3 linked regions of the Xenopus tropicalis genome follow. The main gene of each other region encodes a partner of the protein of the gene in region 2 in a complex. Links are inferred from orthologs where the notes say so. Each region holds a gene or a part of one and is shown on either strand. Other genes may lie near its edges.

What was found.
Region 1: the proteins of siah1 (region 2) and cacybp are in contact, whole or in part, in a crystal structure (PDB 2A25), measured with the Homo sapiens proteins. The link is inferred for Xenopus tropicalis from reciprocal best matches to the Homo sapiens genes SIAH1 and CACYBP. Residues at the interface, in NP_003022.3 of Homo sapiens: Leu158, Gln159, Asp162, Ile163, Val164, Phe165, Leu166, Ala167, Thr168, Val176, Asp177, Trp178, Val179, Met180, Asn276; in NP_055227.1 of Homo sapiens: Lys59, Pro60, Ala61, Ala62, Val63, Val64, Ala65, Pro66, Ile67.
Region 3: the proteins of siah1 (region 2) and usp19 are in contact, whole or in part, in a crystal structure (PDB 4X3G), measured with the Homo sapiens proteins. The link is inferred for Xenopus tropicalis from reciprocal best matches to the Homo sapiens genes SIAH1 and USP19. Residues at the interface, in NP_003022.3 of Homo sapiens: Cys130, Pro131, Thr156, Leu158, Gln159, Asp162, Ile163, Val164, Phe165, Leu166, Ala167, Thr168, Leu172, Val176, Asp177, Trp178, Val179, Met180, Asn276; in NP_006668.1 of Homo sapiens: Lys463, Pro464, Thr465, Cys466, Met467, Val468, Pro469, Pro470, Met471.

Annotation. Positions count from the first base shown.
Region 1 is NC_030680.2:98,117,535-98,128,376, reverse strand, and holds the end of cacybp (calcyclin-binding protein), read right to left. Parts: intron 8,074-10,842; coding exon 7,974-8,073; intron 6,453-7,973; coding exon 6,358-6,452; intron 3,981-6,357; coding exon 3,824-3,980; 3' UTR 3,355-3,823; downstream 1-3,354. Other genes in the region: mrps14 (28S ribosomal protein S14, mitochondrial), read left to right, coding at 906-1,073, 1,971-2,153. UniProt on the Homo sapiens protein: May be involved in calcium-dependent ubiquitination and subsequent proteasomal degradation of target proteins. Probably serves as a molecular bridge in ubiquitin E3 complexes. Participates in the ubiquitin-mediated degradation of beta-catenin (CTNNB1).
Region 2 is NC_030680.2:74,030,903-74,042,324, reverse strand, and holds the start of siah1 (E3 ubiquitin-protein ligase SIAH1), read right to left. Parts: upstream 5,948-11,422; 5' UTR 5,739-5,947; exon of another isoform or gene 5,598-5,738; intron 4,281-5,597; exon of another isoform or gene 4,246-4,280; intron 772-4,245; 5' UTR 703-771; intron 1-702. UniProt on the Homo sapiens protein: E3 ubiquitin-protein ligase that mediates ubiquitination and subsequent proteasomal degradation of target proteins.
Region 3 is NC_030680.2:137,483,882-137,494,723, forward strand, and holds part of usp19 (ubiquitin carboxyl-terminal hydrolase 19), read right to left. Parts: intron 9,986-10,842; 5' UTR 9,850-9,985; coding exon 9,708-9,849; intron 7,031-9,707; coding exon 6,902-7,030; intron 6,181-6,901; coding exon 6,044-6,180; intron 5,338-6,043; coding exon 4,879-5,337; intron 2,117-4,878; coding exon 1,768-2,116; intron 1-1,767. UniProt on the Homo sapiens protein: Deubiquitinating enzyme that regulates the degradation of various proteins by removing ubiquitin moieties, thereby preventing their proteasomal degradation. Stabilizes RNF123, which promotes CDKN1B degradation and contributes to cell proliferation.

The sequences.
Region 1 (10,842 bases), about 24 Mb from region 2:
AGCGGGGCCTCTCAAATAGCATCAGTGATGACATGTGGCTTATATTTTCTTCACTGGAGGTTTATACGCCTTTATCTTGCTAATTAACATTACAACTTTTTCAAGAGCGTGGCCAGGTACTATATTATAAATATATAGAAGAGTAGTAATATGTTTGGTTTGGCCAACATGTGCGTTTGATCATTTTTAAATGGTACATATGCAGCAGCCATTTATGTTTAGGGTATTGGAAAACTTTGAAATAAATGCATTTTTGGGGAGGAATGTTTGTTCCAAATGCTGTAGACTTTGTTTTATTATTAATTACATCCCTCACCACCCACGCTAGGGACTCATTACAGTAGCTTATAGGGATGAACATTTTTTCCTTTCCAAGAGAAAACACGCGTAAAGGTACCAGTAGCAGGCCCAGAGTGACAATCTGGAATTGGCTTACACTTCAGTGGCCAAAATGCAGAAGTATCCATTTTTTTTTGTTATCAGAATGGCCAAACAAGTAGATTATGATATGTATGGCCCCAGAAATACTTTACAATATTAATCGATAATTCTAACCCCTTATCCGGAAACCCGTTACCCAGAAAGTTCCGAATTACGGAGAGGCCATCTTCCATAGTCTCCATTATAAGCAAATAATTCTAATTTTTAAAAATGATTTCCTTTTTCTCTATGATTCCTGTAATTATAAAACAGAACCTTGTACTTGGTCCTAACTATAATTAATCCTTACTGGAGACAAAACAACCCTATTGGGTTTAGTCAATATTTAAATGATTTTAAGCAGATTCAAGTTATGGAGATCCAAATTACAGAAAGATCCCTTATCCGGAATACCCTGGGTCACAAGCATTCTGGATAACAGGTTCCATACCTGTACTGTTAAAAAAAATCTTTTTTTTTTTCAGTTGTTTCCTTGGCCTTCTGCAACTTGTACAAATCAAGTCCGAAATTACTACGTTGACTGGAGGATGTTTCGGGATGTTAAAAGGAGGAAAATGGCATATGAATACGCTGATGAGAGATTGAGAGTCAATGCTTTGCGGAAAAACATTATTCTCCCTAAAGAACTGCGGGTATTTTATTTAAGCAATTCAGTACATCGGAGCAAATGCCCCATATTTACTATAGATACTATAGTTGGTAGTTTGATTTTGAAAAATACGGTTACCAAGATGCTACAAACCACCTGTTCTAACCATCTGAAGGTTGTTCCTCTCCTCTGGTTTGGACTACTGGGTGATCACAAACAACAACTTTATATCCTACTCCTTAAAATGATTATAGTGATCACACACATGCTTTAGAGGTTGCATATGCCAATTAATTGAAGGGGTTATGCAGTAAAATGCACTAAGTTTACCTAGGAGCAGTAACCCATAGCGATAAATCAGCAGGTAGAATTTTCTGGTTACCTGTATAAAAGGAAACATCTTATTGGTTACTGCTCCTGGGCAAACTTAGTGCCTTTAATTACATGTGGGGGTTAATGCTCTCAAGCTGTTACAATAACAATCCCACAACATTATGCACACAATAATTCAATGCTAAGTACGCATTAATCTATCTGCTCTCACTCCCTGTAACTTTTTTTTATATGGTGTACATTTGTCGTTCTTATGCTTTTGTAAGGCAAGAAATTGTAATTATTAACATGTTCTTAAGTTTGGGTGCATGTTTATAACTTATTCTGTTTCAAAGCACAGCCAAGATAGTAAATGAAGAAGCTGGTCATTATACAAGTTGATAAATAAAGCTTAATGTGATACTACAGCAGCCAATTGTCTCACCAAGGATCAGTCTAAAAGTGGCCACACATGGATCTGATTGGGCAGGTTTGATCAAGAACCCCTTGGGCTCATTGGCCAAAAATTACACATAGTATATGGCCAGCTTACCTCTGATGTTTGTGTCTTTTTGAACATTTATTAAACTGGGGAAAAATAAATCATCTGTTTCTCTTTTTTTCACAGGAAGTGGCAGATAAAGAAATTGCTGCATTTCCAGTAGATAGCTGCCCTGTAAGAATCCGTAATCGCTGTGTCCTGACTTCTCGACCACGGGGTGTAAAAAGACGTTGGCGGCTAAGTCGAATTGTGTTCCGTCATCTAGCCGATAACAACCAAATGTCTGGCATTCAGAGAGCCATGTGGTAGGAACAGGATTTGAGGGCCAACTGTCGAAGCTACTGGGCTACCATTTACTAAGGACATTTTTTTAATTAAAGTATCATAAGAGCATTCTTTGTTGACAATTCTTGACAAAACCTGGCTTATTTATATGTATTTAAAAAAAATCTGTATTAAAAGCAACAATTACATTGCAGAGAATCCTTTTGAATGGAAATTTATGCTATAAAGACCTTTTTTTTTTTTTTTTTTAGTAGTTTATATTTCTCCATTTTGAATTTGCTTCAGTGAAACAGTATGGGATCAGTTATCTGGAAACCTGTTATCCAGAAAGCTCCAAATTAAGGCAAGGCCATCTTCCATAGAATCCATAACTTTAGAGTTGCTAAAACTATTGCTAATTAAATTCATTAACACTGAAACTGCCAGAACACAAGAAGAGTGTTGAGACATCTGGGGGAGGTGAAAATACGGGAGAATCTATGCTGAAAGACAAAACAAGACTAAATACCATTTTCTTTTATTGCAAACATAAGAAACTTTGTACTTTTTATTTTAGTACTTGTACCAAACATCTCCAAAATTATTGAAGGGTTACATATCCACTACCAATGAGTAAAAAGTGTCAAAACAATCTTCCATTTTTCACATCCCCTGATCCACATGAGGGAGAGAAAGAAAAGTTAGGATTCTTATAGAGAATTGCAGATAATTGAGGTAGAATTTTTAACATTTTAATATTGTAATTTGTTGAATTTATCACAAGTCATTCTCCCTTAAGATTGGTGAATGGCACATAAAGATGGAAACTAAACAGTGGCAGTGGGAAAGTATGGGGCAGAATTGTATGGTCTATCCTCCCTAGAGGGGATCTAAAGCCAAAAAATGAATTGATGTAAACTTTGCTTCTTTGAGCACTTCTGAAACTTACAAATCATTTAAGTGGTGAGAGTTCTGCCTCTTAAACTTATATAGTTATATCTAGTTTTTTTTTTTTAATGTTTTTAAGTTTAACCTTATTTGTCCTTTCACGATTTCTAATGTTTTAAAGCTCAACACTTTTGGGGATGTAGGGGTAGGGATTCCCATAAACATTCTTGATGCTTTCTTTCATTCTTAATGGTATGTACTAGTGCACCACTAATTTTCTTTGTCTGATCTAGAAAAGCTATACAGTGTACAAGTAAGGTACATTAGTTTGTAAAACAAAGACCCGCACACCTGTTTGAAATGGGTCTCTTTAATAAACAATTTGTAACCTGATATTTTAACAGATTTTCACATTTAACCTTTCAATGACAGCAGGCTGAGGCCAAATTTACTCTGCATATAAGTTCATGCAAAGTGAGCGGCGTCCCTGGTGCATAAATACACCTGTAGCTGTAAGCAGCCTCTTATGAGAGATGTATACATATTCCCTACGCATATGCCTGTTAAGTGTTAAAGACAGAAGGACAGACATTCAAAACTTTTACTAGGAAAGGAAGATAGAGGTATACAAATGAATGTTTCAGGCATATGAACCATGCAGTTTCTAATCTTAATTGGCATGAAATGCAACAGCAGCGAATTCCATGTCAGGAAAGCGAATTGTAAACAATAGACTTGTAAGAAGAGATAATTTCTCCAGGCATTAAAACGAGGACTGTTCCTGGACGTAGGCATCATTTAAGGCGTAAGCACTGAGAAGTCTATGTTCAGAATTCAGGATCGCCTTTCATTTGTTTTTCTCGTGATTCTACCCAAGCTTTATTAAGTGTTCTCTTCATGTCATCATCTCCATCATCATATATCTTCTTTAAGACATTCATTAATCCTGCACTTGGGTCTCCATCTGTGTCTAGTGCTGGTTTCCTAAAAAAAAAAAAAAAAGATTTAAATTATGTTACACTGAACTTAAAATACAAAAACATGACAATGAACACCAAATATAAAAAATAAGTGATCAAAATAATCTTCAAAATAACTTAGATCCATTGTACAATAAAAATCAGAGCTGTGGAGTTGGAAGCAAATTTGGGTAACTGGTTTTGGAGTCAGAAAAAAAATTGTAATGGAAAAAAATACAGTATGTTACAATATCCTATTTCACAGATAAGTCATAATACAGTACGTCTGTGCATAGTTGTTTCACTAGTGTGAAGTCCAGCTGAGCTATTATAACATTACTGTTTTAATTTTTTGTGTTTTGTTTAAACTTTAGGTTTAAGGAATGTTTGTAGTTTCTTTAATAAATAAAATAAAAAGCTACATTCAGATTTTAGTCTTCTACTGCCGAATGATATTGATCATACGCTTAAATGCAACTATCAAAAACTAATATTCAGTATGAAATTGTAGGATAAAGTCCTAAAAATAACAAATCGGAGGATGTTCTGCACATGAAATAGTTGGCAGACACAAATCGTGCAAAAGTGACTTCCTGCAAATGCACATAATACATGCGCAGATATTATCTGCCTGAAATTTTCTAACCTGTCCAACCACACACAGTCCAAAAATTGTATGAAACTATAGGGTTGATTTACTAAAGTGCGATAACGCTTATTGGATGGTTTTTTGCGTTAAAATTGACGGTCAAAAAAACGCGCATTATCGCATGCGTTAAGTTGCATATCGCGTGCGTTAAATAGTGCACAACCAAACGCGTTAATTTTACCGCATTGCATTAATTAGCGCGCAGAAATAATACTAATGCATGATTCACAAACACTTAGGGGCTGATTTACTTACCCACGAACGGGTCGAATGGAGTCCGATTGCGTTTTTTTCGTAATGATCGGTATTTTGCGATTTTTTTGTATGTTTTGCGATTTTTTCGGATTCTTTACGAATTTTTCGTTACCAATACGATTTTTGCGTAAAAACGCGAGTTTTCCTATCCATTACGAAAGTTGCGTAAAAAGTTGCGCATTTTTCGTAGCGTTAAAACTTACGCGAAAAGTTGCGCATTTTTCGTAGCGTTAAGTTTTAACGCTACGAAAAATGCGCAACTTTCCACGTAAGTTTTAACGCTACGAAAAATGCGCAACTTTTTACGCAACTTTCGTAATGGATACGAAAAACTCGCGTTTTTACGCAAAAATCGTATTGGTAACGAAAAATTCGTACAGAATCCGAAAAAATCGCAAAACATACGAAAAAGTCGCAAAATGTTCGTTTTCAAGTCGGAACTTTTCCAATTCGGGTCGGATTCGTGGGTTAGTAAATCAGCCCCTTAGGGGCAGATTTACTAATCCACAAATTCGAATCCCGAATGGGAAAAATTTGGATTGGAAATGAAAATTTAGTCACGATAATATCGTATTGGCGATCCGAAAGTCACAAAATTTACGCACCGAACCATTGTAAACAGCGGTAAAGCCTGTTTATTTCGCGCAAGCGTACGAAAAAGTTGTGCGGACGCCCGAAAAATTCGGCAAAAATATGCTCGGAGCGTTTGAATGAACGCTCCGAGCGTTCATGCTTTTGTAAATGTGCCCCTTAGACGCGCTAAATATCGCATTAGTCTATGGGAAAATTAACACCTACTTGGGGCAGGCGGTAATTATGTGTTGGCCCTAGAGTGATGCAGCCTCCAGTTTGCAGGGAAATGGTCATTTTCTAAAAAGTAGTTTTACGAAAGTAATGGCGTGTATGGCTAGCGTTTTTTCGCACGATGACAATTTGTGCGTGTTGCGTCAAATACCGCACAAAAATAGTCTTCGTGACTTAACGCAAACAGCATCACGTCTAAATTAACGCAAGTATCCTTTTAGTGAATCATGCGTTAAGACGCGACAAAATTTTTAACGCATGCTATAAATAGCGCTCGTTTTAACGCACCTTAGTCAGCCCTTATGTTTCTTAAAATTATTTTGGTGCATGTATAGCCAGCTTTATAGATTTATACCTAAACTTGAACAGCAACCTCAATTATGTTGGCAGTGACAAGCTTGGATGGCCAATAGGATAGTGAGGCAGCTTCCTAGCCAGTAGTTCTTTGGTTTGTTCCCAAAAGCAGACACCATTTTCATATAGCTTTAATTGCTGACCTTTCACAGAGATGAAAATGCCTTATATGTTATGTATTTTCCATGCTGATTGAAAGAACATGAGTATATTAAAAACAGAGTCGTCGGAGGTACCATCATTTGAGGAGTGCTAGTTGAAGGAAATTAGCTTCCAGCATGAACACGTGATAAAAACTGAATTTATCTGTAAACGATCCAAGAATCGTAAAGATACTTACTCTCTTTCCTTTGTTTGTTTCTCGACTTGTGTTAGGAATTCCCATTTATTCTCAGATTTCTTTCTGCACATTATCAGCACTGTGTCTGTCTTCACCTATATGAGAAGAATATTAAACAGTAGGAATTTTTTGAATGTATTCAGAACATATTTTGCATCCAATGAGATTACTGCACTGCAAGGCATTATGTAGGGACTCATTTTGCAGCTTCTGTATGCCCACAAGATGTGTTTGGGATTAAAACTGATTACAGGAGACTACAACACACACTTTCATATGAGCCACAAACTTGTATATACTTGGTGATATGCTTCAATGCACCAGATCAGATGTTGGCCTGATGGGTCTACAAAAGTGCTCAGGCCATACCAATGAAAATCCACAAAGGGGCTATTTTAAAAGCTTTTTTTTGAAAATGTACCTTTTTAGTTAGTGATAAGCCTAGTTTCTGGATGACAAATCTATTCTGTCATTAATTAGGTCTCCTCTCAATACCTAACCTTGAAACAGCCAATATAAATAATAGGGCACCCATACTTAAGCAGATAATGAGGGCATTAACCATCCCATGTGTGGGTGTGAAATAGTAAAAAATAGATAGGGGTCAAAACCAACTTCTACACCATAGCCTAGCCTATGGCCACAGCCCACTGATGAAGTGGAGGTAGTAACATTCTCCATTACCTACCCAAGAGCACCATCCTTTTTACTTTTAATGGGAAAGGCACTGTTTACAAACAAGTGTTAATATAACTAATTAATTAATTCATGGAGACCTATTTATTTTAACATATGATGTTATAAGGCAGTGCTGTCCAAGGTCTGTGGTACAGATAATGGAAGCCAGTTTTGACCACTCCCCCTTTTTAAACCACACCCATGTTATCAAGACCATACCCACATTAATGGTAGTAGCACAGCAAAAACCCAAATGGTTGGTGCTCACTGTAGGGATATTACCCTTTATTCATATGTGAAATAATTATGTAATGTTATATTAAGTAACACACTTAAATCCATATGCCTCCTCCTCCCGTGTGGATAGCACAGCACCCCCCGGCATATAATTATTATCAAACGCTAATAAACTTTCAGAACAAACCCCTGCCAGGTTCACCACTCACAGGCAGCATGGGGCAGGCAGAGTATGGCATGCACATTCAGCATAGGGCAGGCAGAGTATGGCACATGCATGCAGCATAGGGCAGGCAGAGTACTGCCTGTGTGCCATATTCTGCCTGCCCTATGCTGCCTGTGTGTGTGGCGCACACACAGCATAAATTAGACAGAGTATGGGACACACAGGCAACATACAGTGACACAATGCTGGCACTGCTCCTACAGGTGTGAACAGGTGAACAATGCGGGTGATTACAGTCTGAGCCTGAGGTGTGAAGAATGCAGGGATTAAAAAGTGAACAGTACAGATGGTGCAAAGTGCTAAAAACACTGTACATTGCACCCTGCCTTCCTTCTTGTAAATAAGCCCTCTTATTTCAAGGCATCATGGAATTTGTAATTTTGTTTCTGGCATTTATAATTGTCTCAAAATTTCATATACGCATGCATTTAAGAGCATAATATTTACAGTGCAAGTACAGCTGTGAAAGACTTACTTTCTTTGTGCTACCCTCTGGAGAAATTGGCTTTAGTAAATTGTTCACAGTCATGGTGTGATTTTTTCCATCAAGATCCTTCACTAACAATTCAAATGACCTGCAAAATAAGAGATTGGCATCAGTTAACTCTGCTTTGGGAGCAGAGCTGTATCTACCATATACAGGTCCTTTTCAAAAAATTAGCATATTGTGATAAAGTTCATTATTTTCTGTAATGTACTGATAAACATTAGACTTTCATATATTTTAGATTCATTACACACAACTGAAGTAGTTCAAGCCTTTTCTTGTTTTAATATTGATGATTGTGGCATACAGCTCATGAAAACCCAAAATTCCTATCTCAAAAAATTAGCATATTTCATCCGCCCAATAAAAAAAAAGTGTTTTTAATACAAAAAAAGTCAACCTTCAAATAATTATGTTCAGTTATGCACTCAATACTTGGTCGGGAATCCTTTTGCAGAAATGACTGCTTCAATGTGGCGTGGCATGGAGGCAATCAGCCTGTGGCACTGCTCAGGTGTTATGGAGGCCCAGGATGCTTCAATAGCGGCCTTAAGCTCATCCAGAGTGTTGGCTCTTGTGTCTCTCAACTTTCTCTTCACAATATCCCACAGATTCTCTATGGGGTTCAGGTCAGGAGAGTTGGCAGGCCAATTGAGCACAGTAATACCATGGTCAGTAAACCATTTACCAGTGGTTTTGGCACTGTGAGCAGGTGCCAGGTCATGCTGAAAAATGAAATCTTCATCTCCATAAAGCTTTTCAGCAGATGGAAGCATGAAGTGCTCCAAAATCTCCTGATAGCTAGCTGCATTGACCCTGCCCTTGATAAAACACAGTGGACCAACACCAGCAGCTGACATGGCACCCCAGACCATCACTGACTGTGGGTACTTGACACCGGACTTCAGGCATTTTGGCATTTCCCTCTCCCCAGTCTTCCTCCAGACTCTGGCACCTTGATTTCCGAATGACATACTTTGGACCACTGAGCAACAGTCCAGTGCTGCTTCTCTGTAGCCCAGGTCAGGCGCTTCTGCCGCTGTTTCTGGTTCAAAAGTGGCTTGACCTGGGGAATGCGGCACCTGTAGCCCATTTCCTGCACGCGCCTGTACACGGTGGCTCTGGATGTTTCTACTCCAGACTCAGTCCACTGCTTCCGCAGGTCCCCCAAGGTCAGGAATCGGTCCTTCTCCACAATCTTCCTCAGGGCCCAGTCACCTCTTCTCGTTGTGCAGCATTTTCTGCCACACTTTTTCCTTCCCACAGACTTCCCACTGAGGTGCCTTGATACAGCACTCTGGGAACAGCCTATTTGTTCAGAAATTTCTTTCTGTGTCTTACCCTCTTGCTTGAGGGTGTCAATGATGGCCTTCTGGACAGCAGTCAGGTCGGCAGTCTTACCCATGATTGCGGTTTTGAGTAATGAACCAGGCTGGGAGTTTTTAAAAGCCTCAGGAATCTTTTGCAGGTTTTTAGAGTTAATTAGTTGATTCAGATGATTAGGTTAATAGCTCATTTAGAGAACCTTTTCATGATATGCTAATTTTTTGAGATAGGAATTTGGGGTTTTCATGAGCTGTATGCCACAATCATCAATATTAAAACAAGAAAAGGCTTGAACTACTTCAGTTGTGTGTAATGAATCTAAAATATATGAAAGTCTAATGTTTATCAGTACATTACAGAAAATAATGAACTTTATCACAATATGCTAATTTTTTGAAAAGGACCTGTATTCTTTTTCTTTCCAATCCTGTGGAGAAAAAATGCACTCTGCATGAACATGGCCCTTCTTCCTCCAGTTTCCATTTGCATTTATAGATAAGACGGATTTCATGAAACAGGGATATGACACATACATGCTCACTAAAAATGGAGGGGGCACTAGGCCCACACAAACTTTGTGACTAAAACCCAAATATGTAACTGTTTTGGTCTCAGAATCTAATACAGACAGGTATTTCTATTTCATGGCACTTTTTATGGGCCTCGCTTTTGCTTCAATCTGGCCATACATGCACCAATTTTTGTATGATATTTGGTACGTGTATGGTGGATTGAAGAGGCGACCAATATTGCAAAAGTTCTTATCGATCAGGTGGGACAACAGATTTTGATCAGGTGCCCTAGCAAAAGCGGAGTTTAGGGTTGAATTGTTAGGGGTAGAATTCCTTTGCTTCTATCTCCACATCTGATGATTCAGCCCTGTGGAGGGTATAAATGGTACGAATGAACCAATGGTCGCAGGAAAGATCATAGTTGCTTCATGTATGGCCACCTTAATCCAGAACTGAACAGATAAAAAGCCCTGTACTTACTACTAGGTGCAAGTCCCTTTGTGTATGGGGCTCTAACAGCCATAAGAATAGCTCTCTTGCACATTGCAGAACCTGAAGTTTGATGGTTCCTCGTTTCATGGAGAAAGCTGCTGCCTGGGGTCAGTGAAATGGACTGGCTTGAACTAAATGATACATTTGCTTACTAGAGGAACATGCTTATTTATAAGGGGGGTACTGTCTAATCTATAAACAAAAGTCTAAAAATTTCTAATTGTAGTGCTCTAGAACATTCAACTTTATACAATCTCTAAGGGGCCGTGTTCATTAAAACACAAGTTCGAATCCCGAATAGGAAAAATTCAGATTGGATACAATAATTTCTGAAGATCGCAAATATCATGAAAATGCTTACGAAAAAAACGTATAAGTCACGATAATATCGTATTGGCAATCCGAAAGTCACTAAATTTTTGTACCAAGCGATTGTAAACAGCGGCAGAACCTTCCCGAATTTTTCGCGCAATCGTACGAAAAAGTTATCCGGGCGTACGAAAAAGTCGCGCATGCGCAAAAAAAAT
Region 2 (11,422 bases):
TATGGCCAGGCACATGGTAAAAAACTGCTTGTAAAATAAGGGTTTCCATTTGTACCATTTAATCTACATGGGTGGAGATTACTCATTTTGTTCAAACCCATACTAGGAGCTATGCAGATTATTACATATTGGTGATTACCCAACAATGCAATAAACATAGTAAACCAGCTGCACACTTTGTAGTACTGGTAGCAGGAAGCGTGCTCTGCATTAACTTGGTGTATGATAGTGAATTATTGAGGTTACTGCTAAAACATTACCATTACCAGGAAGAGCACAGAGCAAAACAAAAAAGTAGTGGTTATGAGCACCAGTTCAAATAGCTGTTCCTCCTAAAATGTGCTGTCCCTTGATGGCAACTGGGCATATAAATGTTTTATACCATAATGAGCAGCAACTTTGATATCCAATAAAAATTATGTCACTGATGGTACTGCAATGTTGTGTGTTGTTACAATGTTCCATGTATATATGCATACATACATATACACACACACACACAGTGTAAATTAGACAAAAGCAATTCCAAGAAAGTGGAAACACCATAATATAAAAAGTACCTCTGCATCCATTAAAACTAAAATTTTCTTTATATTATAAGCTTTTGAAAGTTATTCGTGCCACTAGCATAAAAGCATTACTGTTCTAAAATCTATCTCATTTTTTTTCCACATATTTTTTTCCATGTTTCATTCGCCCTACCTCTATTTTACACTGGATTTCTTGTCCTGTGCACTCCGTTCTTCCTGAAGGCAACATCCAACCCACAAACTATACCAAAAAGAGAAAAAAATGGCACATAAGGAAAATGTTATATTTTATGGGTAAACAGGTCTAAATATAATTGACATTGGATACTGCTTAAAAAAACCAAGAGAATACATAATTGCTTTACAATGACTATATTATTTTAGTCAACATCAACAAATAAAACTCAATAAAACATAATACTAATTTAAAATGTACACAAATATTTTTATCATGGATTCTAACATATTGGATTAAACAGTTTTTTTAGTTGGAACACTGCAAAAAGTTGAGTTGCATATCATTTAAACCCTATATTGCATTGCAAGTAGTACAAAGACAACATATCGTGAAACCAAGGAGTGTTGCTGAAAAGCAAATTCTCATTTTGAATTTAATGCCATTAACATGTTTTTAAGAAAATTGAGACAGAGGCAACAAAAGACAGGGTGTAAGGCCAAAAAGAGCAGATCCCAGAGAGGCTGGGCCACTTAAGGTCCCCATACACGGGCCGATTCTAGCTGTCAATATCGGTCCCTTAGACCGATTCGGCAGCTAATCGGCCCATGTATAGGCACTAACGACGGGCCTGCCCGACCGATATCTGGCCTGAAATACTAAATGCAAGTAAAAACTCTACCATGCATCTGTACCATCCAGCAAGACATTCTGATAAATAAGAATTTGAAATTCTTTTTGGAAATCATGGATGCCATCACGGAAATTAAGGGCCATCCTCATTGTTATCAGAGCACAGTTCAAATGTAATGGTACCAGAAGGGGCATCAGTTCCTACACAATATGTTGTTTCTGTACTATTTTCAATTGAATATAGGATATAAACAATTTGCAAATCATCCCATTCTCTTTTAAATTTATGTTTTACACAGTGTTCCAGTGCTTTTTGTTTTACACACTCCCGCAACCGATTTGCTTAATAAAGGTAAGGCAAAATCTGAACTGATGCACAGACAAAAAGAAATAAAACCAATCAAGATATACAGTAAATTATAAAGCTGGGCCATAAACATAATAAACATACATATAATAAGGCAGGGATCCCCAAACTTTTTTACTTGTGAGACTTGCTTAGACGTAAAAGTGTTGGCGAGTCATAAAAGCATTAAAAAAAAGGTCCTTGATGATGCAAAATAAGGGCTGTGATTGGCTACTTGATAGCTCCATGTGCACTGCTGCCACAGCAGGAGGCTCTGATTGGAGTAAAAATGTCTCTCTGTGCTTCCAAACTTATCTCCAAGCTAAAAAATTACAAATGGGCACCTGTTTTTAAGACACTGGGACAACATGTCACAAACCATTGGTTGGGGACTGTTGCAATAAGGTAAACTTTTACTATTTTCAAAGCATCACTCATCATGGAAACCCCTCCAGCAGCAACTGTGAAAAGCTATCATGTAATCCTATAATATAATAATGGGATTGTGGATGAAAAAACAGATTATCTTGGACAAACAATGGCACATGGAGTGGACATTAGTGACCCATAGTCTTTACTCTTTCTGGTGGCTGCTTATAAGATTCCAAGCAAACCCCCTTACAACATAAAATTCTATCTTCAAGGGGATTTAAACTTAACATAAAACCAGTCTAATATCTGCATAAACTGGGAATCACAAACTTAATTGCAGTTACAAGTAAGTGCTTCTATGAGGATCCTGAATGCCAATACTAGATAAGTCACACTGCTGTTGTCTAGCACAGGCAGAACTATTACTGGTTAGGGTCCCTGCTAGAAACAATGTGGCCAATGCCTCCAACATCATTTACACCTTCAAGGTGCCCATACAAAGGGCAGATATTGGCTGCATCAATATACACTTATATACATACATATGTTCATTTTTTTTTTTTTTTAAAAGGTATATGTGTGTGTATATATTTTGTAGTTTTAAGCTGTGCTACCACCCCCCTATCCCCCCTTTGGAATCTGGAGTTTGCTTTTTTAAGATAGAATGGTCTCTGTAGGGCTAAGGGCTCTGGCACACGGGGGGAGATTAGTCGCCCGCGATTAACTCCCTGTTCGCGGGCGACTAATCTCCCCGAGTTGCCTACCCCTGCCATCCCACCGGCGAACATGTAAGTCGCCGGCGGGATGGCACATGCGGCGGAGCGATTTCGCGCGAATCGCCCCGCCGCGTCTGCCATCCCGCCGGCGACTTGCCATCAGAAACTTTGGGGCCCCACATGAACACAAGCATACAGTACCAACATTTTATCCAAGCCCCATGCGTGTGCAATGTAAACAGCTGATGTTACCCTATAATAAACAGTTCACATAAGGCTAATGCCACACGTTGCGTATTCTCAGCAAGCCGAAAAACGCTTGCCCTACGCTTGCCCTACGCTTGCCCTTCCTTGTGCCTGCACCAAAAAGCATTGAATACGCTCAGGTGCAGGCACACGTTGAGTATTTCTACCTAAAACTGTGTTTATTTCAGAAGTGGATCCGCTCCCTTATGCACCTCAGTAAAACTGCATTGACAAGTGCAGCTTCCGCCTCTGCCCAGCTACACAAAGTAGAGCAGAGTAAGAATTGATCTGAAAATGCGAAACCAGAAAAAAAAAAAACTCAGGCTAAGAGCAGGAGAGGAAACACTCTGTGTACCCTCAGCCTAAAACATGGCCAGCCCTTTCCAACTTTACATATAAGGAGCTCTTTATTAAACAACCTTCTTCCTTTTAAGAGATTAACAAAAACAATATATAATCTTAAGTAAAACTAGGAATGCACTGAATTGGCTACTTTTAGCAGTCTGGCCAAAATTAATCTGGTGGAGAAAATTTGCCTTGTACACGAAGCGTGCACACCGGTGTTTCCAACTTCATCTTTGGGAACTTCCAGGTTTGGGTGAATCCATACCCAAGAATTAAGGGATTCGGACGAATACCAAATTGCTAATTTCCATGCATCCCTATACAAAACACTAGGCAAATAGTTAATACAAACTCACTGTAAACAAAATGGAAAAGGGCACCAGAAGAGAAATACATTTGAGAATTAATATTGATTATTCATAGTTCTGGAGTTTTCCAGGTTAAGGGGTGTTTTATCACTATGAGGCACCATGGCCTTATGTTTAAAACACTTTAAACATTAAATAACTAATAGAATTGATTTCCAACATGGATTTATGCTAGCTTAAAATCAAGTAACAGTTATAGTCTTATTGCAGAGGAAAGGCAAATCCATCAAAAGTGAGTAACCGTCTGCTTGAGGAGGAAACTGTGTAATGTCAACGCTTTTAGAATAATGGGTATCCAAAAAATAGATCCCTTACCTCAACACAACTTCCTACCCACCAGCTCTAAGAAATGTATTGCTTTTTGTAGCTTCTAAGCTCTAAAGCAAAAAATATTTTCAATACAGCATTAAAAAAAAAAAATGTGTTAGCAGCACCATTTTGCATCTCATCTTTATCACTTAATCTTTAAAATGAGCTGCATAAGGAAGAAGAGATATACAATAAAGGTGCGTACCCTAATGAAGCATGTATCCGAGTGCTGTTGAACAGACAATCTAAAAACAGAGGATTAATTCATTAAGCCACAAATGTTGCATCATTTATAGTAATTAAGCAGCATCACAAACAGTAAACAGAACAATCACCTATAAATGAAATCATTTGTGCTTCCTCAGTTACAACAACTCCAAGGCTATGACCGGATGCATCACACTTAGCGGCTGCACTGATAACTCTTGCTATCGAAAGAGAGGGTATAACCACTCAACAACTGAAATGTTTGTAAAGAAAAATTCCTTTACATCGCAAGAACTCAACATGAATACCGCTGTTTTCGACATGTGGGCAGGAGTACTAGGATACTGTGCATTAGGTACATCATCATCATCTCTTACACTTAAATCCGTGCTATTCCCAGGATGCAACTCTCATTGGATGTTTTGGAAATCATGTGTTTATGAAAAATAATTAATTATGAGAAAGAAATTAAGGGTGTCCGCTTAAACCCCTCCTCTAGTTGTTAAACCATAATAAGCAACAAGGAAATAATGTAAATAGGTGTACAACTCCAGCCAAATGTTGGGAATTGTAGTACAAGAGCTGGGGGGGGGGGGATTCATAAATGCCAGGATTCACAACACAGCAACTATCACATGTCACTACATCCACAAAAAAAGCATTGTCTGCAACAAGAAGCAGCACCCCCTTGATTTGTACAATTGAACGGAAGGCAGCTATAGTGCGAGTGATTTCTCTCTGGGGGGGGGGGGGGGGAATTAGGACACAGATCAGGAAAGGGGGAGGGGAAAACACACAGGAGGGATTAGGCCACAGGCCTTGGTTTGGCAACAAGACAATAACACTAGAAGCAACAATACAGGCTGCTACATAGGCAGGGACAATGACCGGGGTTAACAAATGGCTGATGATGCGGTTAGGGTGTGTTGATTATTTACATTAGCCAGACAGAGCTGCCAGATTGCCACTTCAACACCGAACACCCATAAGGTGCAAGTGCAGCAGGGCTGATGATGCAATGTGGGAGTATTTGACAGAAGGAAAGAAAGAGCAGAAACCCACAGCAATGGGGCTGCCATGTCATACCATTATAAGCAGACACCCATATAATCCTTTTGCCAACATTATTTGCATAAAAAGCCACAAAACAAATAGAGAAAGGTCGGGGTCTGCAGCAGCCAGCCACTTTCTCTGTATGCAAACATATGTCATAGCCACACGTGTAGGAAACATCCATTAACCCTTCCCCCACATACACAGCAATATGGGCTCCCCCACCCCCTCCTCCTGCCGTGCATTATCCCATGGGCGCCTGAGAGACAGGATTTATACACAGCGTCGGAGTCCAACCTGCGGCCCTCCAAATGTAGCTCTACCATAACTCCCAGCATCCCCGATCTGCATGGTACGACAAAAGCCGAAGGGCCGTGGCTTAGCTATCCTGGCTCCCGATGCAGTGTTGCCATCTCATAGAACACGGGCCGCGCTCACCTTCCCCAGGAGGGAATCCGCTTTGCTATTATGCCGCTTCCTGTTCGGCTTCCACTGTGACGCACCAATTATCGCACTCACAGGATACCGGAAGATAGGTCACAAAATCCTTTATCGCCGGTAAGACGGCTCCTTTACCGGGTCTGCTTCCCACTCCTTATCTCTGTGGAGCTGCCGCCGTCCCCCGTACTCCGAGTGCGCGCACCCCCCCTACTTCCACAGAAAGACACTGCAGAGGGAGCGAGCGTGCGCGGGCACAAAGAGTGGCGTCACTGCTCCCGCGCTAACACGGCGCGCTCCCGCCACGGATTAGGCTGCCCTCAGATGGTCGAGCAGAAAGCCACGCCCTCTTGCGTATACCACGCCTACCAACAATTTGCACGGGTAAATGGCAATTGTTTGCTTGTTCTGCTGTAAGAATCTATATACTCTCTCGGTCGTCGTTAGCAGATGCCTGCCAACCTTACTGCTTTATGGAACAAATGAACCATTGAAGGGACTTTCGATTCATTATTTTAAGTTAACTCTTAGCGTAACGCAAAAATAATAAAAAAAAACGGGACTGAATTAGTATCGTGTAATACATTTTTAAGGGTATTTCAATAAGGTGCAACATTTGGTCGGGGCCTTAATCAAAGCCACGTTTCCAGTAATATCTAAGACAGTAAGCCAGTGACTACTTAAAATCCCACCCTAACTGATCTCAAGGAATTATTAGAAGAGCAAAAAGACATCTGTCCCAGTTGGGCCCTAACTGGCCCTCAGGCCCTGCTCACTAGGGAAGCCCCATAGTTATAATATGGAGTTGACATCACTGACCATGTTTTTGCAATCAATGGTCTTAATGTATGTCTTGTGTATCTCTCTCTCTCTCTCTCTCTCTCTCTCTATATATATATATATAGATAGATATACATATAATATATTGCAAAAATAACATCCTTTTAGGAAAAAATGTTTTTTAGGTCGCCTGAAGAAGTGCCGGGTTAAAAGAGCACAAAACGCACCAGCACGTTGTACGTCTCACATGCACATGTGCCAAAAATATTAAGCAGTCTAAAAAAAATGGTATTCTGAGTGCCAGAGGCATGATGGAGAAAGGTGTTCATAATGTCAACAATATGGAATCAACATTATTCTGTTAGAGTAAATAAAAGAATAGTCCAAGACAAATTAGTATTTACAAGCAGCAAGCACACTGGTTCCTAGGAAATTGAAAAAACCCTCCACCAATGAAATGGGAATGGATACAATCAATAGAAGAAACAAGGAAAATGAAATTTACCCCAATAATGTCATAAACATATAAGATAATTGGGAAATTTGGTTCCCGTTGTTGCCAAATTTCATATGATTCAAAACTAACTAGACGAGGAGTGTGTATACAAAAATCAGCAACAATTTTACTTCAGTGGAGCATCCCCATGTAATATATTGCAAGATTTTAAACCTATGATAGAAAAGAGAATACCATTTAATAGCTACTGCTTCCTTTGTATTTGGCCTATTTGACAAAGTGCTATTATGTTGGAGCTTTCCTTTGGTTTGAAGGTATAACCATATATCTATATACTTTGAGTATATAACATAGTGAAAATTAAATTAATGTACCATGACTATATACAGTAGATATAAAAAGTCTACACACCCCTGGTAAAATGTCAGGTTCCTGCACTGTACAAAAATGAGACAAAGATAAATCATTTCAGAACTTTTTCCACCTTTAATGTGACCTATAAACTGTAACACTCAATTGAAAAACAAACTGAAATTTTTTAGGTGGAGGGAAGAAAACCAAAAAAACTTAAATAATGTGGTTGCATATAAGTGTGCACACCCTCTTCTAACTGGGGATGTAGCTGTGTTCAGAATTAAGCAATCACATTCAACATCATGTTAAATAGGAGTCAGTATACACCTGCCATGATCTAAAGTGCCTCTCATTAACCCAAAATAAAGTTCAGCTGCTCTAGTTTGTCTTTCCTGACATTTTTTTAGTCGCATCCCACAGCAAAAGCCATGGTCCACAGAGAGCTTCCAAAGCATCAGAGGGATCTCATTGTTAAAAGATATCAGTCAGGAGAAGGGTACAAAAGAATTTCCAAGGCATTAGATATACCATGGAACACAGTGAAGACAGTCATCATCAAGTGGAGAAAATATGGCACAACAGTGACATTAACAAGAACTGGACGTCCCTCCAAAATGGTCAGGGAGGCTACCAAGAGGCCTACAGTAACATTAAAGGAGCTGCAGGACTGGCAAGTACTGGCTGTGTGGTACATGTGACAACAATCTCCTGTATTCTTCTTATGTCTGGGCTATGGGGTAGAGTGGCAAGACGAAAGCCTTTTCTTACAAGGGAATGGCTTCACCGGAAGAAGATTAAAGTTTTGGAATGGCCCAGCCAGAGCCCAGACCTGAATCCGATTGAAAATCTGTGGGGTGATCTGAAGAGGGCTGTGCACAGGAGATGCGCTCGCAATCTGACAGATTTGAAGAGTGGGCAAATCTTGCAAAGTCAAAATGTGCCATGCTGATAGACTCATACCCAAAAAGACTGAGTGCTGTAATAAAATCAAAACGTGCTTCAACGAAGTATTAGTTTAAGGGTGTGCACACTTATGCAACCACATTATTTTAGTTTTTTTGGTTTTCTTCCCTCCACCTAAAAGATTTCAGTTTGTTTTTCAATTGAGTGGTACAGTTTATAGGTCACATTAAAGGTGGAAAAAGGTCTGAAATGATTTAACTTTCCATGATTTTTGTACAGCGCAGGAACCTGACATTTTATCAGGGGTGTGTAGATTTTTAATATCCACTGTATGCTTCCCTCCCACAGAACTGCTCCTGCATTAAGTGCAATAGTGCTTCAGCACTAGGCCATGCAGCCCCCCAGACACACTCTGGGGGGCTGCGTACTAAAAGTAGTACAAGCCAGTACAGGGGGGCCTGCTGAGAAAACTTTTAGGTAAGGTGCAGGCATGGAAGTGGGTTGCGGTAGCCCTTCTGCTTACTGAGCTTCTGGTCCCGGGGACCAGAGACTTAGCTGTTGAAAAGTTAAAGGACAAAAGGTAAAAACTAAGTAAGCTGTATCAGAAAGGTCTATGTAAATACAGCCATAAGCACTCACAGAAAAGTTACACTGAGTCCTCTATCAAAAGAAACACAGATTACCTGTCTCATTTTTTTGTAAACATGTTCTTCAGTATCAGATTTCCTCTCTGTTAGGGCTCCTTTAGGTTTGGGGCACAAACCTGTGCAGTTCTCGCCTCTCTCCCTCTCCCCCTCCCTTCTCCTGCTCCCCCTCCCATAATAATTCATAATAACTCACTCCCCCCTCCCTTAGGAATGTGTGATCTGAGCTACAGTTAGAGCTGCAGCAGGAAGCTACAAAGACCAAGCTAAAATGGCAGTTACTATCTTAAACGGAAGGAGCTATTAGGGCTCTTTACTCAGGTATGGTAAAGCTTTCTGCAGAAAATATATAGAGTCCTAGGTGGCACTAATGTGGCTAACCTATAGGCAGTAAAATGCCAAAATGCCTTTCCATCTTCTCTCTGTCTCCTTTTAAATGTGGTTCTCTACTCATGAACCATTTTCCATCATATTTTCATGTTGCACCAATACTGATTAGTGTATTTTATCTAATGTTTCTTAGGCAGGCCCTAGATATTGAGCTTATTTTGGTGGGCCTTAGGAAGCTCAGTCCAACAGTGCTTTATTACATACAACATCCAGTCTTCAAAAAACTTAAACAGGTTAATTGCAATGCCTTAAAAAATAAAGCAAGCTCTGTATACTGTAGCATTTGAAACTGTGGTTGTTCTGTTTTACTAAAACTATCCAGTTTTTTACATTCCTGGACTGTTATACAGTAACGGTGTTTTTCTTTTCCCAATTCTTATGGAACTGGAAACAGTTTTACTGCATAATAAAGGGCCATCTAAAAGCACAGATATATAGAATTCAACTATGAATGAACAAACCCCATTCTGTTCCATCAACAAAGTAAAATAAATAATCACAAAACAAGGAAAAGGCTCTTTCCTTTATAAAAGAGCCCTGAAGTGTTAAGCGTAAACATACTGATGCAAATTAGGAATCAATGAACAAATGATTATAGTTCATCAAGTAAAAGTTTCCACATGTTCTGTGTGTTAAACACACCATACAAATCTCAGGGCAGAGGTGAAACTTGGCAGACAAACAGAACATGTAGCAGCTTGTTGAAGGGAACCTCCCGTTGATAGGAAGGATGGCATAGTCATGGCAAAATTGTATGTAGGTGTAGTGCATAGGAACATGTACAGTGTGTGTTGTGATTTTGTTGGTCTTTATTTGCCCAGGTTTATTTTTACTGTTGCATTTTGTTTAAATATATCATTTGTATCTAGTTTGAATTAACACAAATTACATATTTAAGGGGTGTGAAACTCAAGATCCTATTACTGCAATGAATTTTCACCTGGCATCTCTCATCTCCTGCCATGTCATCTCCTGCACTGACATTAACAAGAGAATCTAGATGAGACAATTACAACTAACCACCATTTACATGTACAAAGGAAGAAACATGTCCAGACTGAGATTCAAAATATGCACTGGCATTTCAAGTACACTTTGAGAGGTTGAATTTGATGGTCTGTTTTTCATGCCAAATTTTCTATGTAACTGTGTAACCCCACACAGGCCTGAATATATAGCCTGCAGCTTACACCAGATTCCCTGACAATTACTAGAATTTCCAGATTGTCATTCTGGGCCTAGAAAGAAACTGCTAAGGAATGAAGCAGATTTGATCTATAATATTGTTCTAACCAACAATTTAACAAACAGAAGCTGCACTACTAGCTTTTTCATAAAAACATCTGGTAGAGCCTTTTCTACCTAGTGATTTCAATGTAAATAATGGCAACATTATTGTGATCTTCCAAAAAGACTTAAATGATTATTGCACTGTTCCTAAATGTATATGGAAGCATTAGTCATAACAGGAGACAGAAGAACTGCTATGTTTTTGCAGGAAGCGGAAAAAAGAGTACAGGTATGGGACCTGTTATCCAGAATGCTCGGGACCTGGGGTTTTCCGTATAAGGGATCATTCCATAATTTGGATCTCCAAACCATAAGACTACTAATAAATGATTTAAACATTAATTAAACCCAACAGGATTATTTTGCCTCCAACAAGGATTAATTATAGTTTAGTTGGGATTAAGTACAAGGTACTGTTTTATTATTACAGAAAAAAATAATATCATTTTTAAAAATTACTTTCTTATAATGTAGTTTATGGGAGATGGCCTTCCCGTAATTCAGAACTTTCTGGATAACGGGTTTCCGGATAATGGATCCAAGAACTGTACCAACAAATTTTTTTTTTTTGATTCTGAAAACTCTACTGCCTGCCCTGCTCTGTGCCTGAATTTCAACTAGAGACTCTTTAACCCCTTGGATACTGTGTATTGGATTATATCAGCTTGCTTGAACTCTGCTTCCTCCTTGGTCCTGACTTTAACCCCAATAAAGGCCAAGTAGGCCATACCAACTGTATATATAAAATCAACAACTGTATATATCAACCAGGCACTGTACTACACTGATTAGTAATTAGTTCAAATTCATATTCACATTCACATGGCAGCTCAGAAAACAGTTTAATCTATTTAACAATCATCTGT
Region 3 (10,842 bases), about 63 Mb from region 2:
ATTCTATAACATACTGAAACTGAACTTATAGTTCTCTGTAAAAATATATCACGTAAAACAGCCCATATGTAAACCCCTGTTTGATAGGAATAAAGCTTTGTGTTGAATGTTGCATTGTGTTAACCATATTAAAGATCTCAGTTTCATTATGTGTAATGGGCAGAAAGATTCTAGTTTTACGCACATAACACATAAGGTGCCAGGGCTAGGGTATTTGCAGCGTGCATGCTTATTCTCAGCACACATATTGGCACATAATACCCTAAATAAATGCTAAGTGGATGGAGTTAGTGACTGCGCAGAACCACTCACTCGCTGTTACCTTCAGAGCAGGGTCTGGAAGTGCAGGTCACGGAGTCACACATGTTTGCCAGCATGTAACCACACGGCTTGGGAAAGCAAATACGATTATACAGGGGAAACTCATTCCTCCAGATACCCCATTAACTCATCAGGATGCCTGACTTTAAACAAGAGAATAGGGGTCCAAACGGAAAAGAAAAGTGGTGGTGGGGGGAACTAAAAGGAAATAGGAAAGTGCTCTTACAGCCTCCAGGAGAAGTATGCGGCTGGTAATACAATCCAGGAGGAGGGCTAGTGTAGGGGGGTTGGGATATAACCTTTTACTGCCAGTCCTCATCACAGCCACGAGGTGTTTTATGATTTGTGGCAGAACCGTGATGGCATGGTGACAAGTCTATGGCCCCAATTAAAGAGAAAATGTATCCTATTTATAACTCACACAATGAAATAAATAATGCAGGTAAATAAAGCGAGCTGCGGGTTCATACGCGAGATGTTTAAAGGAAAAGGAAAGTAAACTTCACTTGAGGATGCCAATTTGTTAGGAATCCCCTAGTGCAGTGCGGCACAACTGGCGGCCCGTGGCACCACCTGTCTGGCTGCTGTGACTGCTTACCTTTGTGTTAGCTTTAAATGGTATCAGTACTGAGATTAACTGCCCCCCTGCATTGTTCACACCTTAGATTCAGGCTGTAAAACCCCTGTATTATTTCCACCTGCAATCCCCTGTATTGTTCACACCTTTTAGTCCCTGCATTGTTCACAATTTAGACTTAAACTGTAGGCTTCCACCTTGTTCACACCTCAGACAGACTGTAGGAGCAGCACTGGCATTGTGTCACTGCATGTACTGCCTGCCCTAGGCTGCCTGCGTGTGCAATACTCTGCCTGCCCTAGGCTGCCTGTGTGTGCCATACTCTGCCTGCCCTAGGCTGCCTGCGTGTGCCATACTCTGCCTGCTCTATGCTGCCTGCATGTGCCATACTCTGCCTGTGTGTGTGCCATACTTGAGATGGAAAAATGGCACCTCCCAGTAAAGTTCAATTTTTCTTGTCCTTCCTTTCCAGACCTCAGAGGAGCACTGTCTAACTACAACTACAGACACGGTGGGTAAACAAGCTGGGTCACTATCTGGCAAATAAATCTTTCCATTAACATGTCACAGGTGTAATCTACAATGTGACTGCAGTTGCATTCTATATTCCCAATAGTGTAAAGAAATCTCATACCATCATGTGGAGCAGTCGGTCATATTTTATCAGTGAAAGCATCAGTAAAGCCACAGATACTCTCGGCTGTTGCACCAGTGAGAGGTGGCTGCCTTTTCTCACCAATGCCTTGCCTTATAGGCAAGCTATAAAGCTTGCCTATAAATGTAATATAATGAATTAAAAGGCATAAATGACTGAATGGGTACTTAGAAGGTAGTGGACACCTGTATTTTTTTTCCAGTAGAAAAATTACCTTCTGTTGTATCTTCTAGACAATCCTCAGTAGGGGAATCCACTTTTTTGGGAGGGCCACCTAATTCTGTAGCGTCTGAGAGTGCACTATCCGAGTGAGGCTTGACTACAACTTCCTTTACTTCCAAGTTTAGGTTCATTTTAGACAGCTCCTGCTGACAGTCCAGGGTTTGCTCAGACGTGGATGCGAGCATTTCTTTGCATGGAGCCACAATAACTGAATTCAGGTCAATTGGTGCATTCTGCTTCTCCACAGCGTGTAAACATGCAGGTTGCAAGGTTGGTCCCGCCTCTTGGAGCAGTACCTGTTGATCCAGCGCAGGCATTTTCTCCTTCCCTAAACTTTTATTCTAGAAACAAAAACAAGAAGAAAAAACAGATATGTTAATTGCATGCTAGAATGTATTTTTAGGTATAGTTAAGGTCACATCATTACGTACAGTGCTTTCATAATTTAAATGATCCTAGAATGGAACCAGATACAGATGGTAAGGTAAATTCAAAACCCGTAAGTTTTTATCCTATGAAACAATGTACTGTTTCCAGGTGTTTCTGAGTTTTGAAGTGATTTCAATGGCGGCTGAAGCAAACCCCTGAAACCAACCTGAGTGCAATGGGGCTGAAGGATCAGGATATTAATGGAGAAGGAAAGGTAAAAACTTACTAAGCTTTATTAGAAAGGTCTGTGTAAATATAACCATAAACATTCACAGAAAGGCTGCAGAGTCCTCTATCAAAAGAAAAACAGGATTTTCTTTTCTTCTCTTGTGTACACATGTTCTTCTGTGTCAGACTTCCTGCTCTCAGAAAAATCCTTCAGGGCATGGCAGGAGTCTGCTCAGTTTGCTTCTTTCTCCTCTCTCCCCATCCCTTCTGCTTCTCCCCCTCCTATCTGAACTCGCTCCCCTCCCAACTGTGCTGTGGAATCTGAGCTACCAGCAGCCAGAGCTGCAGCACAGAAGCTATTGAGGTCAAGCTAAAATGCTTCAGGGCAATTTTTCATAATTTCAATATATCAGCAGGTCTTAAACTGGTGGTATGAATATTTACCAGGAATGTAACCTTCAGTTCTGTCTGGGTATGGGCTGGAAAGTGCAGCTTTCTGACATGAGTTAGCAAACTCTTCTCTCAACCTGTTTTACTGTAAAGTGATGGATTCTGGGACTTGAAGCATCTCCACTTTCCATAGAAGGTGATGCACAGATTCTCTGGAAAGCAGACAGTCCCCCAGAATTCTTTACATCACAACAAAAAAAGATGAGGGAGGGGTTGCACAAGCTTCTGAGTTTAAAGGTGGGGAAATGGTCCCCCTTTTAATCAGTGGAATTAGTAGTTTGAAATTCAGTGTTTATGAAGCTTTTTTTTTTTTTTTATATATATATAAGAACAACTGAATGAGTGAGCTAATGTGAAAAAGGGTATATCTTCTCTTTAAGTTTTACAGGTGGGTACATTTCCCCTTTAACAAAATTGTTGTTGCCCCCTTTTTTTTTTTTTTTGAGGGTTAGAAAACCTATAAAAAAAAGAGCAGAGGAGGACAGAAGTGAAACGGCTCCACTTTACATAACCACTGTGTAATCAGACTCTGCACTGCTGTACAAAGCCGTATAATTATAGAGCAGTAGTCATCCCAGCCAGTGATTACTCACAAAACAACATTGCCTCCTCTTTGTACGACTCTGTATCCATGGGGGCTTAACATAGTTGTCACGCAGTTCAGTTTTACTAGTCCTACCTTACAGCAATACAAATTTAAATTGATTTTGTGCTGACCTTTGGGTCTGTACCCAATTAACTGACACCAATGCTTACAGCAGAATAAACTGATCAGGCATTTGGCATTGTTATGTGTTCCTGAGCCCGAGGTAGCCGCATACCAGGGCACTTCGCCCTTATATACAGGAGTTTGTAGCAGACTTCATTATTCTCTTTGAAGATGGTACTCATGGGAAAAGTTTACAAGCATGAAAAAAAAATCCTAGGGGGTGACCAATAAGGGCTGTGATTGTTTATTTTGCTAAATCCCTAAACGCCCCCATACACGGGCCGATTCTAGCTGCCGATATCGGTCCCTTAGACCGTTTCGGGCCTGCCCGACCGTTATCTGGCCTGAAATTGGCCAGATCTCAACCGGGCAGGTTAGAAAATCTAGTCGGATCGGGGACCTCATCGGCTCGTTGATGCAGTCCCCGAACAGACTGTCCCATTGCCGCCAATATAATTTGATCATTTGGCCCCAGGGCCAAACAATCGAATTAGCCTACACGCTCCCAGATATCGCCCACCCGTAGGTGGGGATATCGGGTGAAGATCCGAATCTTAACGTGTATGGACACCTTAACCCTGCATTTTGCTTCAATAGTTTACAGTACACTCCCCAAGTAATACACATTCCTATGGATTTTACAGGAATGTGTCATTATCACTTTAAAGGGGTTGTTCACCCTTAGATTAACTTTGAGTATGATATAGACAGTGATATTCTATGACAATTTGCCATTGGATTTCATATTTTGTTATTTTTCAGTTCGCTTTTTGTTGCACAGATCTCCAGTTCGGAATTTCAGCAGCTACCTGGTTGCTAGGGCCTTGTTTACATCAGCTACCAGGCACTGGTTTGAAAAAGAGACTTAAATATGAAAAGGAGAGGGAATGAACAGAAATATAAGGAATAAAGTAACAATAACAATAAAATGGTAACTTCGCATAGCAATAGTTTTTTTTGGCTGCTGGGGTAAGTGACCCCCATTTGAAAGCTAGAAAGGTGTAGAAGAAAAAGGCAAATCATTCAAAAACTATAAAAAAATAAGTTGCGAGGAACAGTACATTCTATAGCATAGTAAACAATATCTTAAAGGTGAACCACCCCTTGAGAACATCTTGATAGCAGCTACAGAAACACAAGAAATAATTATCAATTAGATTAGACAAATAGGCAGAAAGTAAATAAAATCAAAGGTATTCTTTATTCTGGATGCACTTTGCCGTGCATGGTGCTCACCATGGATGTTGGTAAGAGGCACCCCAACTCCAGCTCTAAGTCAGCAGGTTCCTTTGCACCTGTATACAAGTCACTTTTAAGTAATGAACATATCCCAAAGCAGCAGCTCACCTGGTCCCTTTGTGCATTCTGCAGCTCTGCTTGGCTGTCTCCAGACTTGTGTCCTGCCCAAGTTGCATTTCCAGAAGGGATTTGGACATTCCGTTTATTTAGTCCTCTGCTGGAAAGGTCCTCAGAGCCTGCAACTTTCTGACTCTGTGGACTGGAATCCCCTCCTGCGATCACAGAGGCAGATTTATGGCAGCCTCTTTTCATCTGGACTCCACTGTGCACTGCAGTAGATATGGATTTCCTTGTAAGGCTGCTCTTCACTCCACTGCTAGCCTCTGTTGTTTCTTGTCCTCTTCTCACACTCCTATGGTCTGGTTTACCCTTTCGTGCATCTGTGCTCTCGGATGGTTGGGTCTGGGATTTGTCAGGTAGTGGTAATTTTAAAGACACTTTAGGTTTCCCATTTTCCATAAGGGCACCAGCTTTTACTTGCTCTTTCATGGACTCTTTCTTTTTCTTCTGTGTAAACAAAGCCAAAATACAAATAAAGAAGCAAACTGTTAATAAAGCAGTAGGGCACTTCCCTGGCTAACGGACTCTCACACTGAGCTTTCAACACATTTAGTATACTGTACAGAACCTATGTCTTTATAGCCTTTAGCTAACAGCAGCATATACTTAAGAGGGGAACACCCCTTTTTTCTCAGGGTACAAGCATAAATGTTGGATACTGTAGAGATGTAGGCTGCATGAATCATATCAAGTGATACTGACAGCTACCTAAATACTAATTTATGCTTTAGTGACATCCACAGGACCCAATGTCACTTTGTTTATTAGAAATTGCTCTATTTTTAAAGCTAAAGCAGGCTGAAAATACAGTTCCCATTCTTCAGAGAGAATAATGAGTTCTGATGCTCACTGAAATGTCAGGTTGGTATTTTTTAGCATGCTATAGCAATTCCAACAAAACAATGTGCTACCCCCACAACATCTGAGCGTGGTGATGGCACTGCTGCACCTTGAATATTCAAGATATTTGCAGCCATTGCTTTATCAACTGTTTCAAGTAACAAAAACTGTGATAATGCAAGAGTACCCTCTTCTGGCCACCTACAAAAATTACAATCAGAATTAAAATAACATGTCTACCTTTCATTGGTTCTTTCCTAAATGGAAAGTTTAAGAGCCCAAAATTATTTAGGAAAATATCAAGCAGCCTTACCTGAAGTGTTGGCCATTTGTTAAATGGAATTTTCTTCTGAAGGATGATTTGCAAGATATTGCCTTTTTCTTTATATTGAATTTTACTGCAAGAACCTTCAATTTCCTCATGAAATTGGCATTTCCATTGCTGGCCTTCTAAAAGAAAATATGTATGTGATATAGTCCCCTCCAGTCTCACAGTAAATACACAGCAATACACATACTGACTTGTCTAAGATATTGTACCTTTGCCACAATTTACTCCCTTCAGTCTAGACAGATCAGCTATCCAGCAGTCTTCCATCTGTCAAACCTGCCCCCAGAACTAGGCAAACTGTCCAACTGAATAAGCTATGTTTGGCCACCTCTTGTAAATATAACAAGAATGTAAAAATATCAGTAATCAAACAGGGACTAAACTCTCTCTAGAAGTAGTATTTATCTTTAATTTTCTATAATCTGATCACATTTTCTTGTAGGAATAATGCAAATATTAAAAATAAATGTAATGTTTTGTGTGCTTATTCTGCTTCTAATGTATTGAGCATGGCAGCTCTTATATTGTCTATATTATTATTACTATTATTATCTGCATATTATAAAATACCAACACATTTAAGCAGATATAATAACTCTATGCTCCAGTGAAACTTACAGTCTAAAGTCCCTGTTAAACTCTCAAACACTGGGGTCAATTTAATAAGGAGCCAATTAACCTGCCTGAATGTATTTGGAGACAGGAAGTACCTGGACACCAGTGCCCAAGATGGAATCCACCCCAGTGTAGGGAAGCAGAATTGTTTCCCACTGGGTCAGTGTGCTGCAATCGGTGGTAAAGTCCATTAGAAAGGGATTCTTGTGGTCATTTAGTGCTTACCTGGGAAGCTAATAACACAATCTGTATCTGTGAATTCAGCATTCAGCTCTTCCACATTTAAAGCTCTTGATCCAGCATTTAATTTCACGATGACTTCTTCTGAATTCTGCTTCCAGTCAATCACAATGTCTGTCATAAAAAAATAAATAAATTGGATATAAAATTATATTCTATGAGAAAACAACCTAAAATGATGCGCAAGTCACAGCAAAAGAGAAAAATAAACATTGCTTTTAAACATCTCAATAAACATTAAGCCTAGACTACCAGTAAATACTAAGTGAAAGCAACTAAGGGGGTGGAGCCTAGTTCCATAGGTGTTTAGCCCAAGCTTCAAGCAAATATACTACTCCCTTCACTGATCAACAAACAAATAATAGTATGCATGTCAAGATAAGGCACCATATGCACACTACACAATCTTATGGCAGCTAGCTGAATCGGGTCTGACTTATGGGAAAGTGCAGTAAGAATTCAAGGTCACTGATCAGCTCAGCAAAGCAGCTCGTGCTGTCTGACTATGTATCAGGGTTCCATTACATTTGCCGAATACCATAACCTTGATAATCCAATAGGGACTAGAGTACAAAAAAATCAGCATGCAAACCACATGGAGGTCAGTGCATGATTGACGTGACTAATGAGACTGGACCATTTGGTTTCAGTATATTCAAAACTGCCAGTGTGCATGAGTACTGCGGATAGTCCTGTTGTAATTGGCTAGAATTAGGAAAATCCCATCATACTAAATATATGACCTCAACATCAAAAACATATGGAGGAAGTTCAGCCATATTACTTAGTATCAGAGTATCACCCACATTAACAGAATTAAGGCACCATCATATAACAGGTATGGGACCTGTTATCCAGAATGCTCGGGACCTGGGGTTTTCCATAATTTTGGATCATACCTTAATTCTGCAAAAAAAAAAAATTAAACATTAAACCCAATAGGATTGTTTTGCCTCCAATAAGGATTAATTATATCTTAGTTGGGATCCAGTACAAGATACTGTTTTATTATTACAGAGAAAAGGGAATCATTTAACCATTAAATAAACCCAATAGGGCTGTTCTGCCCCCAATAAGGGGTAATTATATCTTAGTTGGGATCAAGTACAGGTACTGTTTTATTATTACAGAGAAAAGGGAATCATTTAACCATTAAATAAACCCAATAGGGCTGTTCTGCCCCAATAAGGGGTAATTATATCTTAGTTGGGATCCAGTACAAGATACTGTTTTATTATTACAGAGAAAACGGAAAGCAACTTCTAAAAATGTAATTATTTGATTTAAATGGAGTATATGGGAGATGGCTTTCCTGTAATTCGAAGACTTCTGGATAACGGATCCCGTACCTGTACAACCTTTTTACTCATTCACTTCAATGAAAGAGAAATAAGGGTTCAAGACCGTTTATCTCAGTGGATTAGAATACACAAATTATGTTGTTAGAAACAGAAAAGTGGGGTAGTGTAATTTCTACCCTTAATTTAGTACAGGTATGGGATCCCTTATTCGGAAACCCGTTATCCAGAAAGTTTCGAATTTCGGAAAGCCAATTTCCTCATAGACTCCATTATAAGCAAATAATTCTAATTTTTCAAAAATGATTTCCTTTTTCTCTGTAATAATAAAACAGTACCTGTACTTGATCCCAACTAAGATTTAATTACCCCTTATTGGGGGCAGAACAGCCCTATTGGGTTTATTTAATGGTTAAATGATTCCCTTTTCTCTGTATTAATAAAACAGTACCTGTACTTGATCCCAACTAAGATATAATTACCCCTTATTGGGGGCAGAACAGCCCTATTGGGTTTATTTAATGGTTAAATGATTCCCTTTTCTCTGTAATAATAAAACAGTACCTGTACTTGATCCCAACTAAGATATAATTACCCCTTACTGGGGGCAAAACAATCCTATTGGGATTATTTAATGGTTAAATGATTCTTAGCAGACGGAGATCCAAATTACGGATCCCTTATCCGGAAAACTCAAGGTCCCAAGCATTCTGGATTACGGGTCCCATACCTGTAGTATATTTCTATAAAGGTAAATATTTGCTGAATAATGATAATCTCCAAGTGGTTAGAAATTGTGCTGATATATCAGCATGCTAGAATTTATACTTATTTAAAATAAAGCATACAAGTATTATAAAATGTATGTTATTGTTTTGTTGCATTCCAAGCCACTCCTTTCTTGGCGACTTGAACAAAAACAGTAATGTTGGAAAAGAAAGTACTGTGCTATTAAAAGTTTGCATATCATTTTCCTTTGACATGATATTGGCAGCAATAATCAAAACACCAACAGATTATAAACTCAAATGTACATAAAGATGTTACTTAATAAGCCGTCTGTGTATTTGACGAGAAAATTGGGAAGCAAATGTAAGCGCTACTTATAAACGGCATATCATTTCCCTTTTAAAACAATCCCAATAGGGCAGTCACAAAGAACTTTCAAGGTTGTTTGGGGCTACTGCATATTGTACCTTTTGATTGCTGCTACTTGCTGTTGAAACATGTTTCAGAGGTTAATGCATCAAAGAGATCAAAGGGATAAGGTCATGATTTTTGTGGTTTACTTGTTATTTCTAAATATCAGAGCACAGGTTGCATGGCTGTGGCACTCTGGGAAATGACGAATATGGCTAGCCCCATGTGACATTTCAAAATTATTTTTATAAAAAAAAAAAAATCTGTTTGTGTTTTTGGAAAATGGATTTCAATGCAGGATTAACCGATGCGTTGAAAAAACACGTTTTCCTATGACAGTATTTAAACAATACCTTTTTGGGGGCCTGCATTTGTCGGTGCCTTGCCCTCTTTGCTTTCCTGGTTGGCTTTATCTTTCTGTTTCTTTCTATTAATTGCATCTGCCGTGCCCCGAGTCACCCTTCTCTGATTGGCACCCTCGGCAGGATGTGACATCTTCTGCCGCTTTGTATAAACAGATGGGCCCCCGGGATCTGTAACGGAATCTGGGTCAGGGGTTCGCCGTTTTCTACTTGGGCCGGCTATCTTGGCGACTCTTTGTGGGTAAACTCTTTGCTAAGGAACAAATAATCTGCAAACAAATAGAATTAATTAGCATAGTGTCTTTTTTTTTATAATAATACAAACATATTTGATTAATATTAATATCTCATTAAAATCTTAAAAAAAATCAAACTCATATCAATGTAATCATATTTATGCTTAAAAATATGCTTTCATCATGATATTAACCAAAGCATGTAGTCACCCAACATAAGCAAAACATTAAGGTAATATTTCAAGCTAAAGAAGAAGGAAAGGTACAATCACTGGGGGGGGGGGGTGCCAAAATGCTAGGCACCCCAAGTGACTGTAATTGCTCATCTTATACCCCAGGCTGGTCCTCCTGTTTAAGGAGAAAACCACACCAGCCCTGAGTAGCTTAAGATTTTGGCACCCCCAGTGATTTTATCTTTCCTTCTCTTTTAAAAACTACAAAACCAACACCATAGCCCTTCAGCTTTTATAAGCCTGTAGTCCATGAACGGTTGCACTGTTAAAGCATAACTAGAACTGCACAGACCCTAGCTGGATCCTGCTGGAAAAGGCTGAACCTTGGTCGAATCCGGAACAGAATCCTGAATTTGGCGCATCCTTACTAATAAGTCCCTGACATTAAACCTGAGAATGCAAGTCTCAAACTTACGCAAACGCTTGGGTGTGTATCCTTATTATTATCTTATTATCATAGCCCAACAGTATTCACACATACTAGGGCAAGCTACAAAGTGAAACTTAGCAACAAACTACTGGGCTAAACTCAATAGTTGTTTACACTTCTTAAACCAGGGACTGAAGTGGTTTTAAAACCAGCTTATTTGCTAGACAGATCAGTAAGGTCACAGACATAATCAGTTACGATTTGATACATTACAGCAGAAAGAAACA